Linked DNA regions of Schizosaccharomyces pombe. Changing the gene in region 1 together with any one later gene gives a genetic interaction. Each region holds a gene or a part of one and is shown in the gene's direction. Other genes may lie near its edges.

Region 1 (4,873 bases):
CCGGGAAAACATCCAAAATTTTGCACTGGATACTTTTAATTTAAAAGTTGTAAACGTTAAGGCGCTTGTAGTTTAATTGTGCTTTAATGATATTATTTGTTGTTGATGTCGGGTTTTTATAAATTGTATTCATGAAAATATTTCCTGGAATGGTAGAAAGAAATGTTCATACTTGATGAATGGTCCGTTTTAACACATTAAACTATGACTGTAATTACATGTGATTTTGTTTTTATTTTTGAATACTATCAACTGCTCTTGAGCTAAGATACTAAACTAATAATTGCCTGTTAAGTTCATAATCGTTGTAAGCATATAGTAAGGTAAAGCAAACGTAGCAGCAAATACCCAGTTCAATAAATGGAGTTTTTTCACTATCTACAAGTAAACTATAATAATAACTTTGTAAGGAACGAATGAATGATTTGCTCTTTCTTCAAGCTCTTTTAGTATTCTAGAAATCGGTTTAAAATGCCAATTCAAAATTACGATTAATTAAAGTAAAAAATAAATATTAAATAATCTAACTGATTACTGATTTTGATTCGTACATTTCATATAAAAGGGAGAAAGTATATCCCAACATCGTTTATAGACATTTTCTTTGAACCATCTCCTCACCATAGCACAGTAAACATTACATAGCGATACGCAAAATAGCACCACTATGTTTGACACAATCATCACTCCAATTCACTACGCTTCATTTGCGCATCCAACATGTCTCACTAAAGTTGGCTGGTTCGTACATATTCACCCTTGTCAACTGCGTATATCCCGAATTCAATAAACGTGTTATTTTGACGCGCATATACGTCTATATTCATAATGTCAGATTACAAGAGTCTTAAAGTTGCAGAACTGCGTGAAAAACTTGCGGAGAAAGGCCTCTCCACTGCTGGAAACAAAGCTGAATTGGTAAGCCGATTGACAGCAGCGACCGAGAGTAACGATGAAAATACTTCGAATAACAACGCTACAGATCTAGGAGATCTTGCTCCTCCCGAGGATGATATTGATTGGGGAGACATGGAGAATGATACTATTTCAACTGACGTTAACAAGCCAGCAGAACCCGAAAGTAAAGAGACCAGTGCTCCTGCCGCTGCTGTAGAGATTGAAAAGGAAAATGAAAGCATTATTTCGAAAGAGACTTCACAAGCTCCTGAAACTTCCACTGGTGCTGAAGAGCATCAAGAAACCACAGAGGAATCCAAACAAAGTGTATCTAATGAAGTCTCTAGCCCAGATGTAGCTAAAGAGCAAGAAAAACTCATCCAAAGGGCTAAACGATTTGGCATTCCTGTGGACGATGAACAAATTAAGAAAGCTGCTCGTGCTGCACGTTTTGGCATTCAACAACCTTTAGCGTCAAGTAATAACAAAAACCATAATCAATCTAAGAACCCTCAAAATCGTTCCAACTCACGTTCTAAACAAAGAAATAAGAATGCGCCTCCTAAAAGTGCTCCATCCAAGCGGAAGAGTAATATTTTGGACGACCCTATAGAGGCAGAAAAAGCTAGGAAGCGTGCTGAGCGCTTTGGTGTTGCTGCCAAGAATTAAAGTAACCATTTAACATATTTTAACTTCTTATTTTACAATATGACTCATGTTTCTTGAAGTTTTCTCCTCATGCCATGCTTTATTTGTATGCTTAATGCTTTTTTGATGAATTAGAACTTTTGAATTCCTATTTGTGTATATAAATTATACCCAGACTTTTGCTTCACTTTAAACAACTTATCCGAGTACAAGCATCCGATATTGGAGCCCTAAACGCTTCTAATTTCAATCCTACCTTTTAGGTGTGTTTTAAAACATCTGTGAAAACTCGGTTTTATTTTTTTAATAGCTTTTTGGGGCGTGATGTAAGTATTTCCTAGGCGAATTCTTTAATAGTTACCTATACTCATATGTTTTCCATTTTTAAAAAACTCTTCGTTCTAATCGTTTTGACATACACATTCGTTACAAAGATTTTCCACTCTGCTATCCATATGTATATATTTTGATGAGCTTATTTGTATTTAAGAAAAAGAGAAGGATTGTAATGTTTATATGATGTATCCACCTTTACTTCCAACAATGTCGAAATTCTTAATTTTTGTACATAAACTATTTTCTACAGGTTGGAATTTTATTTTTTTATTATACCTTTTTGTTTCTCAACTTCGGACTTCTTCTGTAACGTGCGACTTTACCTGTTTTGCTGTCATCGGTAAGTAAGAAAAAGTGAAAAATTTGACATTGCTGGCTGTAATGTTCTTTTGCGTTTTCTCAATTAGAGTCAATTAAAATGCCTTTTAATGGGAAAGAGTAACATCATTGTTTGTTTACATGTTGAAGTTTGTTTGTTTACAAACATGGCTTTTTAATCGACTTTTCTCAGAGCCACCTTCACCGTGTCTCAGCTACCCATTATTACAAAGTTTTGACTTTTCAACTCAACTAGTATCGCTACCTTTAAGAATATAAGAGTTGTTTCTATATCTTTTAATCCAGCCTCTATCCTGTTTACGCATCATGAATGCGAAATTATCTTCCTCCGGAATGGTACTGAAAGAGCTTCCGGAAGTCGCTTTGCAAAAGATAAGCTCAAACTACTATTGGGCTGTTTTTGCAGTGTTCCTGCTGTGCGCAATTGTCTTTCCTTTAGTATCGATATTCAGTTTGCCTCAAAAGCAGACTTACCACCGTTTCTTTTCCATCCTCAGTTTGGTTTCTTGCTTGGCCTACTTTACCATGGCCTGCAATTATGGATTGAAAAATGTGTTTTCTTCTGCTTCTTTTTTTCGAGAAGTTAGTGTACGAATGGTTTACTATGTTCGCTATATTCAATGGTTAATCAATTTCCCATTAATCATCGTAATGCTACATTGGACGGTAGGCGTATCTATACTAGAAATTGCATATGTCGTTTGCTATGTGCTTTTTGCGATTGTTTGCTTACTGGCGGCAGCATTAACTTCATCTCCCTATAAATGGGCCTATTACGGATTTTCGTTTGTAGGCTATTTTATTGCATTGGCACACTCAGTCGTTTTGCATAAAAAGTATGCTAGCCGTTTAGAGACGTCTGCGCGCCTAGGGTTTTTATGGTCAATTGTTTACTTACATGTCATTTGGTTCCTCTATTATGCATGTTGGATTTTATCTGAGGGCCTCAATGTTATCTCGCCAATTGGAGAAGCCATATTTTACAGTATATTAGATCTTTTCGAATTCGGCTTTTTTGGCGCTGCTTTTTCTTGGATGCTAGACTTGGTTGGTATTGAAAACTTTAAATCGCCTCAATCGATACCCTTAGGGGCATGCAGTCCTGCTGATGACAAGTTTTCAATGTGTCCGGACATGGAGGCACAAAACCAAGCTGATGATTTGGCCGTTGAAACTCGCATTCAAATTTCCAATTTACCTTCTTCACCTACGAAAAATAATTGCTAATAACAGTACGCATCGTTGCAGTTATCTTTGCTTAGTTATAGAAATTTACCTTCCGTTTTTTTTTTTTTTGTTTTTTAATCATTATTTGTTTCCTGAATGTTTAAAACAAACTCGAAGTTTCGCTACGAGAATTTCGTTGGCATTCTAAAACACAAACACTTTTTCGTGAAAAATTACGATTATGAAAACGAAATAATTATTATAAAAACGAAACCTTTGAACAATTATTAACGTTCATTCGCACTTGAAACGTCTAAATTTACGACGGTGAGTCATTGTTTACGTGAAAAAAGCATTATACTAGTTTTAGTTTAAGATTATTCGTAAATCATTTGCATAACTTTTACGAAACTTTACAAGGCATAGCTAATATTAATACAAAAATTTGCTGTTGAGATACAATATACGTTTAAACATTTCATAGAATAATAAATAAAAACTAAAAAAAAGAAACAAATAGTGCCCAAAATGGTAAATAGCCACTTTCAACGAATGAAGTAAGTAAAACTAGCATGAGCGATGCAAGTTTGCAAAGTGTTATGGGTATTTAAAGTCGAGCAGACTTAGAAGTATTATTTTCGTTTGGCTCACGTAAGTCTTGAATTGATATATGCTGCAACGGAGGAACTGTACGAGCACTGGGTCTAGCCGACAAACGACTAGCTTTAGAGGAAAAGCTAAAACGAGCACCTGACGTACGCGATGCATTTTCGTTTTCTTCATTCGAACTAGATTCTTGTTGAGAACGTTCGTACTCTTCCTCTTCGGCTCGGCGACGTTCCTCAGCTTCGCGTCGCATGGCCTCTGTGCCAGCGTTTTCAATGACAGCATCGGGAAGACTATCACGACCAAGCCTTTTACTTCCAATATCAGCAACATCATCAAAAGCAGGCATCAGATGCCGTGTTCCAAGGGAAAAGTCAACACGCTTTTTAGAAACACTAGCGGTATCGGAATCTGAACTACCAGGAGGAGTAGGTTCGCGGTAAGGATATGCTTTTGGGTTCTTCAGAATTCCTCCGCCAACAGTGCTGTCGCGATGATTTTCAGTACCACCACCATCATTACCACCAGATAACTTAACACCCTCCATTGAACCATTGTTGAAGTTGACATACATAGGTGAATCCTTTGATTTACCAGGGCTGTTGAAAATAGGAGATACAATATCCAATTCCTGCATATAAGTCATCAATGCACACATAAACATATTTCTTCGACGCATACGTAAAACCTCGTCTTGAAAGTTATATTTATGAAAGAATACAACACACAAAGACATGGAATAGAGATCCGGTAAATCCGTAACTTCAGTTAGTAAGTCAGGTTTATAATCACGCTTCTCTTCTTTCAAAAAATCAATAATTTTGATTCGCAGTTGTTCAATTTGCTGAAGAGTAGTTCCAAACTTCAGGTTAACGGTGAC
Region 2 (5,562 bases), on another chromosome or scaffold:
ATATCTTTGATTTGCTATCTGATCAGGGAATCCTCCCAAAAAATGCAAAATCACTCCATGCATTTTATTACCATGGAACTCGTTTAAACATGAATATGACTTGCGCTGATTATGGCATTATCCACGACTCTGCCGTTCATATTGCACCATTACCTTCTTCATGTGACATTGATTTCAAAGACTACTCTACATCTGCTTTCCACTTACATTTTTCCCCTTTAACTCCTAATCATGCATCTACGGAAGCTGTGTCGAATTTCAAGCAATCCTCTACCATTCCCTCAATTTCTAAATCCAATTTAACAAACCCTCCTCTTGAATCCGAGAAGAGTTCTGACAAAGCATTACTTACCCGCCCAGCGACTTCTAGAAGACGTTGTTGCCATCCAACTTGCACGAGGATTACTTTGCGCCTCGCTGGCAATTGCTTGCATTGCAATGGCAGATTTTGTGCTGCCCATCGTCTTATGGAAGATCATGATTGCGTTGCTCTTTTCTCTCTCAGAAAGGAAGAGCATGAACGCAACCGTATAAAACTTGAAAAAGAACATGGTGATACCTTGATAAGTAAAGTTTAAAATCCATTCTTAACTTGAACATTTTTACAAAACACCATCTTAGAACTTTTTTTTCTTCTTCTTAAGCTGGAGTTTTATTATTACTGTTATCCTTATTATTATTTTTAATGTTTTAGCTGGCTTTGTTTGCACGGGAGGCCACGTTACCTTTCCCGTCATCTTCGTTTTCTAAATATCTTCCCTTTGACGCTCCGAATTTTATCGTTCCTATAATTTCAATCAGTAATGATGGATCCACGATTTTTTGATCTACTTTTTTTCCCTTTTCAACAGCAGTTACCTCATTTTCGTTTGCATTTTCTAATGTTTTATTTGACTGTTTAATGAATAATCGTACTTCCATTATGATACTTACTTTCTATTTTATTTTTTTCCCGTCTGCCAAGCAGTAGGCTTTTGACATTAGAGCCATGTGTAATTTTCATATGCTCTTTCTAATATTTTACTATCCTCAACTGTAATCGTGAGTTGATTTGGTGAACTCGGTACCTGTAATCAAGCTTAATTGTTTCTATACTACTCTTATCTCTGTTCGCCACATATCTCTTGAATTTACCATCTGGTATTCTCAAAAACTTTTATGAAAAATTCATTGCTTTAAGATCAAAATTACTTAACTCCAGTTGCCTGCTGATTTGGTGCAATGTTTTAATACCTAGTGTCAGCTAACTCATTTTTTTGTGGGTTTCTTGGACTTGACTATCTTGTTTTTCCGATAGATTGCTGAAATATTTTTAAACAGATGAATAAATCTTTGAAAGTTGCTTTAAAATTTTTTTAAGTACTTAGATTTAAACCAGTTATAATTCCTTATACTTGTAATGTAAAGCCCCCTAGCATTTTCGCTTATAGTCATTTGAAATCATGTATTCAACTCTTTTGGTCGGCATCCGATCAAGTAATTTAATCGCATCAATCCAAAATTTATTTTAGTGATGGAAATTTTCATTCAAGTCAGGCAATTCATGTAGATCGATTTTCTACGAAACCCAGTACCCGGAACGTATATCGTAAAAAGTCAACGAAAACTGCTTTGGAAACTTTTTTCTTCATTTTTTTAGCCTTTTGTTTAAAAATTTTCATATTTTGAGAGAGTAATTAGAATAATTGTCATCTTCTCTCGGGTTTTTTGATAAATTATAAAAATCAAAATTGTTGCTTAAATCATTCGTGTTGTTAGAATTTTTCTCCTCTACACTAAGGGAATTGAGTCTTATAATATTTGATTTTCTTTCATTAAATAGACTCATTTACATATATTAAAAAGCTTTTTTTTTTTTTTGGAATTATTCAGAAATTTACCATACCGATAATTATCGTAAACCATGGATGAATCTCTAGCAAAGGACGCCGTTTTTGTAGCCTCTTCAAAGCCTAGTGATTTGACAACTGAAGTCGTCGGACCAGATTTTAACAAGTATGATGAGAGAAAGAAGGCTGGAGGACCTGGCATAACAGTAGAAGAGTTGGTCGAGTCGTATGGAAAAATTGGATTCCAGGCTACCAACCTTCATGATGCGGTGACTATCATAAATGAGATGGTATGTTTAAAATGTAGTTTTTTTTTCTTGATATTCTTTTAGCTTTCATACGCTATTCTGTTAAAATTGTGAAAAAATATGACTTACTTTATGCCTGCTAGGCACATATCGATTGAGCAATACTAATTGTTACAGAGAAATTGGCGCGATCCCAATCCCCCCGAAGAGAAAAGTGATCGTGCTACCATTTTCCTTGGTTACACCAGTAACTTGATATCTTCTGGCGTCCGTGAAGTTTTGCGCTATCTGGTCCAGCACAAATGTGTAGATGTTATTGTTACAACAGCTGGAGGTGTTGAAGAAGACATAATTAAGTGTCTTGGCCCTACTTATGTTGGCGACTTTCATTTAGATGGGAAAAATCTTCGTGCCAAAGGTTTGAACCGTATCGGTAACTTGATTGTTCCAAACGATAATTATTGCCGTTTTGAGGAATGGATATTTCCCATCCTTAATAAAATGGTCGAGGAACAAGAGACTCTTGGTACTCATTGGACTCCTTCATCCTTTATCCGTCGTCTGGGTAAAGAAATCAATGATGAGTCTAGTGTTTTGTATTGGGCATATAAGAATAATATACCTATCTATAGTCCTGCTCTTACAGATGGATCGATTGGTGATATGCTTTATTTCCATACTTACAAAGCGACTCCTCGTCCATTAGTTTTGGATATTGTCGCAGATATCCGAAACATGAATACTCATGCTGTTCGTGCCAACAAGTCTGGAATCATCATTCTTGGGGGTGGTGTTGTCAAGCATCATATTTGCAATGCAAACTTAATGCGCAATGGGGCAGAATGGAGCGTCTACATCAATTCTGCCAACGAATTTGATGGTAGTGATGCTGGTGCTCGACCCGATGAAGCTGTCAGTTGGGGAAAAATTCGTGGCGATGCTAAGAAAGTAAAGGTATGTGACGCTATACTTGTATATAGCAAATTCTAACTTTTGATGTCTGTAGGTTTACGGGGAGGTGAGTCTCTTATTTCCTTTAATTGTGGCCGCTACCTTCGCGAAGTGAATTAAAATAATATAGAATTTAGCTTTATTTTCCTAGAACACGATTCTTATGGGGCGTTTGTTTTTTATACTGATCAAAAGCAAAGGCATTTCAATCTCCTAAAAAGTTCACCAATGTTTGGGTTTTTATAGAAAAAATTATTAAATATACATTAAAATGTTGCTTACAAAAAATCAATTATGTTTGTTTAATCATAAATTTTTTTTTACGAGAAATAATACTAACTTGTCATATTGTTTAGTTAACTGCCTAATGTCATTTTGGTTGTTTGTAATCATGAAGTGTCCGTATTAATATTCCTAATTAGCAACCGTTTAAAAACTACTAGTTTTATATTTCCTTGTCTTATGGTTTATCTCACAATCACCTTACAGCTAGCAGTTCCAAAATTCATTGTACAGCCACACGGATGAGGTGTCAATTGTGAAACATTCAGATTATGATCCACTGTGGCTAGGCATTAGTTATAATAATTATTCCCGTATTTCCGCGTATTTGATATGACCCGCCAGTTCGCAAATATAAACTTCTCAGAACTCCAGTTTACTTTCTGAACACCTATCAAAACATATAAGAGGTAGATGTGTCGGGATCACTACGAAACGCGCTAATTATAGAAGGATTGTAAGTTTAATCTTCGAAGCGAAGAAACAAACTAATTCTTTTACGGTTTTAGTCATTTCCTGCGATTATTTGTCGAGTTCCTTGTAACGTAGAATTTTAGTGCTTTGTATTGTGCTGGCTTCAAGTACTCGTTTAATATTCGTTGTCTACAAAGCTTTATATTGTTAATTTTTATCAGTTTTTGGCTTTGATATACCAAAGCACCATTTTCCAAACAAGTTTAATTTACCCGTCGAAAAAGTGATCGGGTTGATGCGCATCAGTCCCTCAATTTTCCACAGAATACAATTTTACAAAAAACGAACTTTAAACTTAATGGCACCAGAACCCTCTCTCACATATCTTTCGCAGGCCTCTTCTTGCAATGGTGCGACAGACAATAGGAAATTAGTTATTTTAGACTTGAATGGAACTTTGCTATGTCGCGCGCTTGCAGTCAGATCAGAAAAATCCGTATACGAAGCCTCTCGTAATCCTATTCCGAGACCGGGTCTTCATAACTTTCTTAAATACATCTTCGCCAACTTCTCGGTAATGGTGTTCAGCTCATCCAAACCGCACAATGTGCAAGCGATGCTCTCTGCAATCATGAATGAGGAGCAAAAAAAGGCTTTAATAGCTTGTTGGACAAGAGTGGATATGAAACTTACGAAGCATCAGTTTGACCGAAAAGTTCAAACCTACAAAAATTTGGACACAGTTTGGGAAAAAATTCACCACGACAGTACGGGTAAACCTGTTTCTTGGTCTCAATACAACACTATAATAGTTGATGATTCCAAAACAAAATGTGCTGCTCATCCGTATAATCATATAGCTGTGTCTGATTTCGTCGCAAAGTCACATTCCAACATTCCCAAAGACATTGAACTTGCTTGTGTAATTAGATATTTAAAGCATTTGAAATCGGTTCCCAACGTTAGCTATTATATCTACAAATTTCCCTTCAAAATTTTGGCTGATAAGTCACTAGAAGACAATTTAAAATACTTGGATGAACTTGACGAAAACTATAAAAAAGAATGCCAAGTTGATAACCCCCAACCTTGAGATCATTTACTTTTGACCTGTTTCATTCTAATCGGAGCTGATTTTATGTGCTTTTCGACTTGCTTTTAGGTGACTCAACAACTATCAACAACTTACAAAGTATACATAGCTAGGCGGATATTACTAATTATTGTATTATTTTTATGTTATAATAGTTATGAACTAATGAAATCTTAGTAAATTAGAACATATGGTAAAGCATCTCTACTGGAAGTAAAAATGGCAATACTCAAACCCTCAAAGGAATTTCGTTAGTTTTTGCAGGACGGCGGAGCTTCTTTCTTTTGCCTTCTTCAAATAATGTCACTTGTTTCAAATCGCGTCCAAGTGTATCCGGTTTCTTAACCTTATACAAACGAACTAAATGATGAACGGTAGTGAATGCTTCTTCGATAGTAAATAGTTGAGGATCTTTCGATGGTAGTTTTTGATTGCGAGCACGGTCATATCCTTGATTGGGAGGGAAAAGTTTCCAAGCACCGTGATATGACATCTTATATAATAAAGACTCACGCATAGTGGGAGTAGCCGCATCGTCAGTTCGATATTCTCCATTAGGAGTAAAAAAGTTACGCTCTACTATTTCATCGGGCCATAATCCCTGAGAAATTCGGATCATCCAAAGGAACTTGTTCATGTCGTCGCTGCTGTATCCAAGAGTACCACCATATATAATAAGAATATAATCAACATCGTGTTTACGGAGGATAGGGTAAGCTTTTTCTTCAGGTGAAGACATGGCTTT
Region 3 (6,018 bases), on another chromosome or scaffold:
TTTAATTCCTGCGGTCAAAATTAGGCTTAACAAGGTTGTTGGTTAAAGCAATTAATTAACAATGGAGATTATTTGTGTTGAAAAAGGATTTTATTAAATGTATGATTTTATAATTTTTACTTCTCAATCCGATTTAATAAAATATTTATGTAAAAATTGGCAGTTCGGTTGTATTAGTAAAAAGCAATACAACATAGATAGCAAATTCAACTGGGTCAGATCTTTAGTATATATTATTTAACAACGGTAAAAATATCAATAAAGCTTAATTAAAGCAAAACATATGCTTCCTTTCGAAGAGTTGGTTATCATATAACACCTAACTTTTATAGAAATTATGTATCAAAATATAAAGCGACATTGCCTATATGTTACTTGCAGTCAAAGAAGGCTCGTAAACTATTTTGATTATGCGATAGAGTATGGTATGTTTTCTGTGATATCTGAAAAACGCTACGATGAATTATTAATTATTTTTGCTACTCTCAAAATCAATAATATCATACAGTATTATGATTTTCGTTTGCCTATTCTTCGAATTATAGTTTGTAGTTCAGCCTTAATATAGGTAATTGGGGAGTATCAGCATCACCAGACGACCTATCTTGTAAAGCAAAGGTACAATGAATAGCGATACTTTACGTATCATTACATAGTGCAATGAGAATTGTTAATAATATCATACATTACACTGTCACTGAAAGTTCGTTTTGTAAAACGTGCTGCATAAACCTTCAGGTAACAATGAACTCGTTACTCAGGCGCTGCGTTGGAAATCAAGCCTTCAAAAATCGTTTCATGGACATTAAAGAGTTTGATTTGAATTTTTGTAAATATAGCATTCTCATTTTTTACTTTTGAGACCTAATTTGGAAAATACATTAGTCCGGGGTTCATTATAGCAGAAAAGCATCTACGCTTCTCAAATACAACAAAATAATGAATCAGGACGTTAGAGTATTTCCAGACAGCATTTATCTATCATGTTCCAAAAAAAAAGCTTCTCTTCGAATAGATAGAGTCGACGGATGCCTTAGTTTGAGCAATTCTCTTGATCTCAGCAAGACACCTGACTATAATAACGTTCAGTTATATGGATTTATTCGATTGAAAATATACAAATATGTAGTTCTTGTTACAAGTTGTGATTTGCATGCAGCAATTCTCGGAAACAATATTTATCGGGCAAGGAAATTTGCTATCTTCCCAATTACAAGGACTCTTCCATTCTCCACGGGTCTGCTAAATATTAAAGATGAGGAAGAACTACATTATATCAGTTTGCTCAATAAACATTTGTCAAAAGGCCAAATACTTTTTAGTCCAACGTTAGATCTAACCTGTTCCCTTCAAAGATTACGCGTACTAACCCAATCTTTTGAACTGACATCAAAATATAATTACCGCTTTTTTTGGAATAAATATGCATTTCATGAATTAATTGAATTGACGAATAAGGATTTAGGCTTTCAAGAATGGATTCAACCGATGATTCAGGGTAATATCGCCATTACTAACTCGTTTTTAAAGACTTATAACCTTAGACTGTGTGTTATTACACGACATTCTCCTGACTATGCGGGTACGCGGTATTTCACCAGAGGTGTAAACGCACAAGGAAGTGCTGCTAATTTTAATGAAATTGAACAAATAATAATGATCGAATCACCCATCACCCTTGAAGAACAAATGGTTCTTTCTTTTACTCAAATTCGAGGAAGTATCCCCATGTTCTGGGCCGAAGTTAATGATCTTCATTATCGACCTTTATTATCTTTACAACCTCTTGATTATAGCGAGACTGTGTTTGGGAAGCATTTTCAAGAACTTGCCAACGATTATGGGGACAATCTTGTGGTGGTCAATCTTCTAGACCAAAAAGGACGTGAAGCACCTCTACGGTCTGGGTTTGAAAAATTATGTAAACGAAATAAAAACCCTCCTTTGTCTTATGTTTACTACGATTATCATAAGCAAGGAAGTAGAAATCTCCCTTTGTTTCTTGCTGAAATTCAAAGTCTCTTGATAGAAGGAAAATATTATGCCGAGCATGGATCTAAAACTACTGCAATGCAAACCAACTTTGTAAGGACAAATTGTATGGATTGCTTAGATCGGACGAACGTCATTCAGACTAGCATTGCACAGTTTATTCTAAACATGCAATTACACGATATTGGTGTACTTTCTAGCTCTGAGAGTTTGGAAGAATATGATAGTTTTTTACAAGATTTTCGCTTAATATGGGCTAATACTGGAGATTATATCAGTGATCTCTACACTGGTACCCCGGCCTTAAAAGGCGATGTGACTCGCCATGGAACGAGAACCATTTTTGGAGCTTTCAAAGATTTATTAAACTGCTTTCGTAGATATATTCTTAACAATTTTTTTGACGGTATGCTGCAAGATAGCTATGATTTGGGTCTTGGAGTATTTCGTCCTTACGACTCACTTTCGATTCCGGACTTGCCTTTGCGTTTTCACTGGACTAGATTTGTGGCACCTGGAATTTTTTTGTTCACCACGATAATATTAACTATACAAGAATTATTTGGAAATCCAAGTCTGTTCTGTCGTCTGTTATATTCTATCCCTATGGTGAATGCTGGAATCTACCTATATTTTCATCGTAGACAATACGTTAATTGGCCTCGTCTAGTACTACCAACGTATGCTAAGGGAGGTTGGTTTTCGTTTCGTAATCATTTCCGAAATATTACTCTTAAAGTGTTTCGTTTTTTGCGTTCCGGCTCTTTCAAAAAAAGTGTCTAACTGTGCATTTCAATAACTAAAGAACAGTATTGCTATAACTCTTAATTAGCAGAAAACGCTCTTTGAACACTCGAAGTTCACTCTTTATTTCATTAGACTTCATAGATGTCAATCTTGCTACTGAACAAAGCGATGCTACCCAACTTTATCAAGTGACTAATTCAGATCATTTTACGTGATTGGTAATTGTAACTTTATTTTCTTTAATTGCTCCAAGCTTCCTACCAATATCAATTAGTAATTTAAGATTTTCATAATTGTTAGAGCCCTTAACAAACTATTGTAGTATGGATAACACACGAAAAAAATATAGCAGACAAAATTAATATTTCTAACTTTTATTAAGTCAGTGTTAAATATTGGGCAACTTTGACCATTGAATCACTGAGGCTTTTGACTCAAGTTTTACTCGGTTTTAAACAGTAAATGAAATATATGAAAAAGCCAAGCTTTCTTTCAATTTCATAAGTGTTGTTCATGTTCAATATTTAGGATACATACTTCTTCCAATTTAGGGGCATTCTGGTTTAATATTTTCAATGAACATGTTATAAAAATGAATTTTTTAAAAGATCATACAGTTCAGCAACGTTTTCTAATACTTCCAATCCAGAATCTTAATTCACAATTCACATTACTGAAAAAATGATGAAGTTATGCCTTACCCGACAGTTTTTGTATGAAAACTCCACAATATTACGAAAATGATTATATACACTTTTACAATCAGCTTAGCATAATTATGCTTATAGAAATGGAAATGCTCACACTTAATTTTGAATATTATTTTAATAGTGGATTTAACTACTCCTAGTACCAAGTCAAAGACTTGAGATCACTTAATGTAGCTTACGGAAGCGTAAACATCTCTCGCAATAATACTGCGTAACGAAGACCTGCAATTTAGTATATTAAGCTTGAACTTACACGTATACCCCTCTTGTTTATGTTAGCAGGAGTGCAATGTTCTGAACTTGTATATTTTAAGCCGTTCTGTTAAATATTATTAATTTAATCGTTTTTCTTTTTAAAAATTATAGCTTTTTAACGCATTGACGAGTTCACTACATACTCTAAGGATACTTAACATAAGTACGAGTACTGCAAACCGTCCATCAAGCTCTTCAAGGCGAATCATACATTTCGAGCGAAATACGACTCTTTAACATATATTCATTATTTAACATATTCACTTAATAATTCAACCCGATTCTGGCAGGATTAGCAACCTGGTCATATTCTTATGATTTATTCTTTAATATTTGTTTGCAACATAACCACACCCAAAATTTAAATTAAGAACTAACTTTTTTACATTAAGATCGAACATGAAAGACATTGAAGGACTTTTGGGCCTATGTGTTTGCTTTGTGGGGTTACCCGCATCTGGCAAGACATCTTCTGCAATGAAATTATCCAGATATTTGACATGGATGTCCGTTTCTACTCACCTTTATGATACGAAAGAAATTGATAATTCGTTGTCCGAAAATTCTAACAGTGATTCAGAGAATTTAGCTAAAACTCTTAGCCCCATATTCGATAATCTGGAGAGCGTTTTTAAAAAGGGTACTGATGTTGCGATTCTTGATTTTAACCAATGTACACTAAAGTTTCGGAAAAGTATAGTGGAGTTGGCAAAAGCGCGGAATATGCTCTTAATGTTTGTCGAGGTTGTCTGCACAAATCAAAAAATTATCGATGAAAACATTACTGATATGTGTCAGCATTCACCATATTTCAAAAGCTTTCCGTTCGAAGAATCGAAGAATAAAATCCTTGATAGTATTCATGAGTATGAGAAACACTACACACCTTTGTCCGAGGCTGAAGAATGTACTTTCGTTAGAATTGTGGACTTTGGAGCCGAACTGATAGTTCATAAACTTGAAAATTACCTTGAATCTAGGATTGTTTATTATCTCTCTAATTTGCGTACGCGTCGACGAAGTATTTGGCTAAGCCGACATGGTGAAAGTCAATTTAATGTTGAAGGAAAAATAGGTGGTGACTCAAGCTTAAGTCCTCAAGGACTAAAATATGCTGCTCTTCTTCCTGAATATGTTGCTAAGTTTTCGATAGGTGAAAAAGGACTTACGGTTTGGACATCTTCAATGGCTAGGACTATCCAAACTGCTCGACACCTTAATTGCCAAAAGCTCGAATGGAGAGCACTGGATGAATTAGATGCAGGAACGTGTGATGGTTTTACTTATGATTATATTGAACAGAATTTTCCTCATGAAGCCGAATTGCGAAATAATGATAAATTTCATTACAGATATCGTGGCGGAGAATCTTATATGGACGTAGTAAGGCGGTTAGAGCCGATTATTATGGAGTTAGAACGACAGGGAGATGTTTTTATTATATGTCATCAAGCTATTCTTCGTTGTATTTATGGATACTATCATAATCTTTCACTTGAGGAATTACCATTTATTAATGTTCCTTTACATACAATAATTAAACTCACTCCAATGACATACGAAACGATAGAGGAGCGTGTTACAGTCCCCATTTCTGCTGTTTCTACTCAACGCGGCAAACATTGAAAGAAAATTCTTCATAATGTGCTGATTTATTCCTTTAACGTTGATCAGAATTTTTCAAAGGTTGTGAATTATTTTTTAATAATAAAATGCAGCATTGATGACTTCAATACAAAATTATTTTTTTCAAAGTTTATTGTTAATTATTCTTCCAGTTACCTAAAGTTCGTATCACTATGCAGATAGCCGAAAGTATTTACTGTACGTGAACAAATCTTTTAAACGAAAATAGAAAGAAAAAAGTAGTTTACTCGGAACCATCAATTGGTTGTGTATGTCATTCATAAAGTTGTTATCTTTAATGCACTATGAAGCATTTAAGACATGAATGGCAAAATTATCTTTTTTTTTTCTAGAATCGAGCTTCAACCACGTTTTACAAAACTGTGGCTGTTGCTCTCGAGATCAATCAAAGTTATACGGTATATACTTTCCAAATAATTAAGCAAGGAAGGATAGCAAATCCATAATTCTAAAGATATCGAAAAACTCACAAAATAGCGAACAAAGTATTAGTAGTTAGAGTACTTTTTGATTAGCCTTAGAGAAAGTCAACAAGATAAAAGTATTTGATATTAAACGTCGCTTTTATATCATATTTTTTAGCAGACTTCTTCAATTTAAAGTCATTAAATAAATCCTATCATCTTCAGCTAATGACAGGACAGAATAAAACCCTTGACATACTCGA
Region 4 (6,072 bases), on another chromosome or scaffold:
GAACCTCTTCATCGCTTTTAGCATTGGCAAAACTGGAATCATCCGGTGATGAAGAATCCATTAAATCATGGAATGGCTGTTTTCTTTTGATATCGTTTTCTTTATTGCTTTCAACTTCGGGAAGAGGCGGTGACCGAGAAGACTCATCTACTGTTGAGGCGAGAGAAGTTGCATTCAACTGTTCATGTGGAGCTGAAGAGTTGGATGATGTATCGGAAATAGAAGAAGTGTCAGAATCACGATCTGCATCAAGGGAAGTGCTATTAGAAGAAGTTTTCATTATTGGAATATCGGAATCAGAGATGTCCTCCACCTTTTCATTATGAGCAACACTTGATTTAGTAGCATCAGCTGCGTGAGCACCCGACTCAGAATAGTGATTCAATTGAGAAGTTGTGCTTTCATAATCTTCAGCGTCGTACCAATGTTGCTCAAAATTGGAATCCATAGACATGCGTGACGAAGGAGAAGATTGCGCCGTACGTTCTTTAGTATATTCATGGTGTTGAATAAAGCATTCCAGTTCATGCAACAAAGACCCGAGTTGACGAGTAACCTTGCGTAAAGTAACCGCAGCTTGCGCGTTTTCAGCAGCAGTAATTTCCACTGAAGTACGGGTTTCCTTGTTTTCTTTGGCATCACCGGGAAGTTGTATACGGATCTCAGGGACAGAAAAATTATGACTTGAAGCCGATTTGATACGACTGGTGCGATACAATTGAGCAATATCCAGGCATTCACGTAGTCTTGAGTAAATAGAGACTAACTGATTGGATGACGATTCTTGTGTCCTTTCGTCTACTACGAGCTTTGAAGAAGTTTGACTATTTTTCGCCTTTTCCAAAGCATTGCACCAACGTAGCCAATCTTGGTGAGTATGTGCTCGTAGGTTCCACAGTTCTACGCCTGAATCAACGTTGATCTCATGCGTCTCTGCAGCAACGCTAATCACAGCAATGCTCAAGGGAATTTTACCGCGCATTACCGAAGAATTTTCGTTAGCATAGTATGAGATCGTGCCTTCCACCATGTTGAGAGTGAAGTAACGTCGAGCATAGCCTTGGCCCTTCTTTCGGCGCTTTTTAAGCAAGGTTCCAGAAATAATTTGTTTAGGAGAGCCATGGACTGATGCATTTGGTATTCTCGGACCGTTGTATGGTTGCGCGGTCAAGAGGAAGGTCACAGTTTTTGGTTTTGTTTTCGAAAAAGTGTTATCAAACACGAAGGCATAAAGTCCTCCATTCTCAATGTAGACAGAGCCCTCACTAGGCTTTTCCGACATACATCGCTCTCCTTGATAAAATAATTCTAACCCAGCAGCACTCAACTTCTTGATACCAGCTTCGTGAGTGTGTTGACGCTTTGTATGCAGGATGGAACGATCGGTGTTTTTGTTGGATCCATCTAGCAAGCTAGATGTGTCATTCTTTTTATGATATATATCAAACTTTATGCTTTTCCGTTTCACATGCAGTTGCCAACTCAGTAAGGAATTCGATTCCACCGTGAGCCATTGTATCAACAGACTCTTACTTCGTATCTCCACAGTTTCCATGTTGACTCATGGACTTCTACTGTGATAATTGCAAAACTTAGAAAGCCTATTTTTTTCAATTGATGACTGGAGAGGAATAAAATAATTGCCTAAACGTATGTGGTAAGAGATGGATTTTCGGTTTCGGGATTTTCGGGCGAATGACTCCAAGGTATTTTACCGATGCGGAACGTTCGGTTTTTTGGCGGCCACCTAATGTAATGTATACTTAAGTAGTAAACAAAGGGCTGGTAGCGGCAATAGGTATGCCAGTATGTAAACGGATACAAAGAAAATTTTGCACTTATCACTTTCCGTAGTGTGTACTTGGGATGCCTCGATCGGGCTATTTCAGATATGGCAAAATATACTTTACATTAAAAAATAGCTATACAAAAACATTCGCACGGTCTGTAATATGCGGTTTTATGTTTGTCTACTAGCATTGATGGCATCGTGCGAAATAATGCGGGTTTTTGGGATTAAACCGAAAATCAAATGTTTTCTGTAGTCAAAAAATCTAGCTGTTGTAATTTTTTATTTAATTGTCTTTGAGTATTTCTATTACTGCTTTTACTAATTTTATCATTATCACGGCTGTATTGTTGTAGCTTATTGTGCAAAAAATTTTGGCTAGAAGTTGGGACGGATCTAATGATGGAAGAGGGTAAATAGAGAGTTCCCATGTACTCATAAACTTTGAAAATTGGCATAATTTCCCATAACACAATACCAGCTCGATTTTCCATTTCATAACACAAAATTTACATACCTATGCATCTGATAACCCATAGACCGCGTACCTTAATTAAATAAAGTGCAGATTGGTTGCTCGTATCGAACGCTAGCGTTGTCTGCAATGTCGCCGTGGAGATGTTTACCAAAAGATAGCACGTTACGCCATATAATCTTATTACAAGGTTGCTTTGAATCACACTACTTTGCCTCGTGCACCTTTTTTATCGCTAACAAATTAGCATCAGATGCGCGGATCATGTTTAAGTCGGACGGTATGCAGCAACATGCACATGCTAACCACCTATATACACGAATAACGAATTTCATCCTATAAAGTCAGCTGGCTCGACTTGCTATGCAAACCCCTTCTTCTGCATCGGCAGAGTCTGAAAAGGATTCAGGAAACACCTATGTTGGGCCTTGGCTTTTGGGAAGGACTTTGGGACAAGGAAACTTGGCCAAAGTGAAATGTAAGTACATGAGGTGAAATTTAGTTGACTTTGTCTTGTAGGGGCTTGTTAATAAGATAGAGTAGACTACTTATAGACAGTAGAGATAGACTACTTAGGTGTCATGGTTATCTTGCGCATCGATCGTCTTTGATTTTGTTTTTGGCAATTGTACGATGGCTAACAGTGTAGTGGGCAAGCATTTTCAAACAAATGAAAAGGTCGCATTGAAAATGGTTTACAATGATGAATTGGAAGATAAAGATACGTGGAAGCGTTTACAAAGAGAAGTGACAATCTTAAGGCAATTGCACCATCCAAACATTATCACCCTATACCAGGTGTTTCGGGTTCCCAAGTACACAGTGCTCGCACTAGAGTATATGGATACTGATTTGCACAGTATGGTGGTTAAGCATAATCGACTGGATGAATGTACCACTCGCAAGATTTTTCGACAAATTGTCCATGCCATCGATTATTGTCATCTTCATCGTGTTGCTCACCGAGATTTGAAGTTGGAAAACATTTTACTTAATAAAGATCTGGTTGTCAAGCTCACGGATTTTGGCCTTTCCAATTTTATGCTTGATGGTTCCTTTCTGAGTACCTCTTGCGGTACTCCCCATTATGCTGCTCCTGAGGTTATTCAAGGCCGTTATTATGATGGTTGTGATGTAGATGTATGGGGTTGCGGAATCTTATTGTATTTGATGCTCGTCGGCGAGTTTCCCTTTGAGGATGTAACCATCTCCAATGTATTAAGTCGCGTTTGTAAAGGAATCTACACCATTCCTAGTTTTGTATCTTCTTCAGCCTCAGATCTCATTCGTCAAATGTTAATGGTGCTTCCTACTTCACGAATCAAAGTTGCAGAAATAATGCAACATCCTTGGTTTATCGCTGATCTTCCCACGCATTCCCGTTTACCTTCCCGTACTTCATCCTTTTCTTCCAAGCATCGATCTGTCACCTTTTCTCCTCCAGATCTTGCTATTCTTTTCGACCCTTCCATAACTTCGCCTTCCAGTAGTGTAGGTCAAATTCCTCAGCCCACAGATCACTCAGCCCTATCCCCGTCAAAACCAATGTCCATTTCAGGTACTGAATCTCCTAATCCAGATCCCGCATCTTTATGTTATTCGTCGTATGAGGACTTGTATTCGGCTACTTCGTGGCATTCTGACATGGCAGAATCATCCGGATTTTTAGATCCTACTGATATTCCACCAATTCCTTCTAACGTTGAAACTTTACGCTCTTCTCTTCCACAGAGACATGCTTCATTCATGAATAAGGTCTACAACCATCCATTATCCCGACCTCCCGCCCCCAACCGACTTCGTTCTTTACGCTGGCATTATGGGATTCAAACTGCCAAAAATCCAATTGAAGTATTGAGAAAGCTATGTGAGGCTTTACTTGAGTTAGGAGCTCGGTTTCGGCCCTGTGATGAGGAATCTTTTCTAAAGGAAAATAAGTATAAAGTGTTTTCATGCATTACATGTCATAATTCTCCTGTTTATCTGGTTATTGAATTATTCTCTATTGGACCATCTGCTAGCGTGATTGATATCCGCTTTTCTAGTAGTGATGATTCTATAAAGTACACTTCATCTTACAGTCCAATGCCATTTTTAGAAGTTGTCAAACAATTGATCCTTAAAATTGCATAAGGTCAGTCGCGTAACTCAACCTAATTCCCTTTTTTATCCTTTTTTTTTCTTTTACGATTTTTTTTGTTGTAAAGCTTTTGTTTTCAATATTGTTTGCATTTACTAATATTGTGAAACTAAGTTGAATTTTGATATTTTTGTTACGACTTTCTCATTTAGTTTCAATTAGAATTCACAGTTGTTACATTTCCCTTTTGTTTTTTGAATTTGTTAGTTATTTCACAAACAATGAAGATAAACAGTTGTAATATTACAACAGAATTATGCTAATGTAATTTACTACAATCTTTTATTTTTATTCATGAAGTTAAAGAGTGAAGTAGTGTATATGCATTAAATGTGAATGTTTGTCCATACTCACAGTAATTCCTAGTACGGAATATAAAAGCAACCAATTAATTTTTGGAAATTGTGGAAGTGCCAAGTATGCCGTATACGTATATTTATTGTTCATGTGAAATTTAAGGGATAAGATGCTTCCTTTGGAAAAATGAACGTAAATAGAGGATTTGCCATATAACAAGAACAAATAATGAGATAAAAGTAAGATATGCAAAATTCTTGACACGCTCATTAGTACTTTCATTAGTGTTTCTGAATCTAGCTTCGCGAGCTTGCAAATAGTAAATTTTTCCTTTGATTTCTTCAATGAAGTCTCTTGCACGACGGATATCAGCTTCTACAGGTTCCAAGTTGTTTGCTTTTTGCAATGAAGAATAATCATCGGCGTCAGCGCCTACAGTAAACTCAAGTTTGACGGATCGCTTTTTATGTTCAGACTCTATAGCACCTACATTTAAATGTCAGTCAGAAAGCTAAACTCATAAAGGATTTCTTTTTCAAAGAAAGAAAGGGATCTAAACAACGTAAACAAATCAAAATAGCCGTTGAAGTAAATACGACTTTTAGATATAGTACCATACCTGGTGTCAAAGTATTTAGGAAGCAAATATCGAGCATAGCAGAAGCATCAACGTCAAAGGCAACACTCTTCTCGCCTAAGACATTTTGAATACTGCTATGAGTGTTGCCAGATGAATCAGTTATCATCATACTCAAGGTTTGTCCATCTCCCATATTACCAGTAGTTTTCAGATTAACAATTACAAGGTTCTTTTCTCCTACGTATTCACGAAGACAGAAAGGCTCTGGATTGGTTTTGGCAGGAATATCAAAGTTTAAAGCATGGACAACAGTCAATAATGCTAGCATAAAGAACAACGAAGATTTCAAAGAAACCATCATTTTGAAATAACTCCAAATGTTTGGGATACGATATGAACGACGTAATAACCACCACTGCTGTATACAGGTTGGCAAAAGAAAGAAATCTTGCCTGTTCTAGTTAAATGATGGTAAACCGAATGCCAAGGGGGAGTGTGCGCTGCGTCTCATTAACTTTCCTTACAGCTACAATGCAACAAAAAATACAAAAATAAGAATTCTGAGATACTTCCTTACGAATCAACTTTTATTAGTGTAAGAAATAACTCAATTTTTTTTTGCGGATCTCTTATAGCCTTAAAAAATGAGTAAGGGGCGTTGAAGGGTTTCATTTAGCAATGTAAACATAAGATAGCCATCGATATCACTAGCAAAAAGTGATAGGTTATAAAGCAAGAAAATGAATAAAAGAATGGATTTAGTTAATTTCTATACTAGTATTATGAGAAAA

Evidence for each region.
Region 2: mutations in mug73 (region 1) and SPOM_SPBC1271.03C together harm fitness less than expected from each alone (positive genetic interaction), as found in Schizosaccharomyces pombe (one large-scale study listed by BioGRID).
Region 3: mutations in mug73 (region 1) and fpb26 together harm fitness less than expected from each alone (positive genetic interaction), as found in Schizosaccharomyces pombe (one large-scale study listed by BioGRID).
Region 4: mutations in mug73 (region 1) and ppk9 together harm fitness less than expected from each alone (positive genetic interaction), as found in Schizosaccharomyces pombe (one large-scale study listed by BioGRID).

The regions. Positions count from the first base shown.
Region 1 is NC_003421.2:622,181-627,053, reverse strand, and holds mug73 (transporter mug73), read left to right. Parts: upstream 1-2,526; coding exon 2,527-3,447; 3' UTR 3,448-3,538; downstream 3,539-4,873. Other genes in the region: RNA-binding protein mlo1, read left to right, coding at 829-1,566; msy1 (MS ion channel protein 1), read right to left, coding at 3,995-4,873. UniProt on the Schizosaccharomyces pombe protein: Has a role in meiosis.
Region 2 is NC_003423.3:363,512-369,073, forward strand, and holds SPOM_SPBC1271.03C (NLI-interacting factor-like phosphatase family protein), read left to right. Parts: upstream 1-3,694; 5' UTR 3,695-3,767; exon of another isoform or gene 3,768-3,819; 5' UTR 3,820-4,082; coding exon 4,083-4,817; 3' UTR 4,818-5,046; downstream 5,047-5,562. Other genes in the region: SPOM_SPBC1271.05C (zf-AN1 type zinc finger protein, involved in ER membrane translocation), read left to right, coding at 1-578; dys1 (eIF-5A-deoxyhypusine synthase), read left to right, coding at 1,904-2,119, 2,255-3,031, 3,084-3,143; oligosaccharyltransferase subunit Stt3, read right to left, coding at 5,047-5,562.
Region 3 is NC_003424.3:2,058,563-2,064,580, reverse strand, and holds fpb26 (fructose-2,6-bisphosphate 2-phosphatase), read left to right. Parts: upstream 1-3,694; 5' UTR 3,695-4,103; coding exon 4,104-5,330; 3' UTR 5,331-5,518; downstream 5,519-6,018. Other genes in the region: sac12 (inositol polyphosphate phosphatase), read left to right, coding at 940-2,775.
Region 4 is NC_003424.3:1,603,645-1,609,716, reverse strand, and holds ppk9 (serine/threonine protein kinase Ppk9), read left to right. Parts: upstream 1-2,567; 5' UTR 2,568-2,627; coding exon 2,628-2,742; intron 2,743-2,913; coding exon 2,914-4,397; 3' UTR 4,398-4,644; downstream 4,645-6,072. Other genes in the region: sterol transfer protein Osh3, read right to left, coding at 1-1,555; COPII-coated vesicle-associated protein Erv25, read right to left, coding at 4,859-5,187, 5,321-5,642.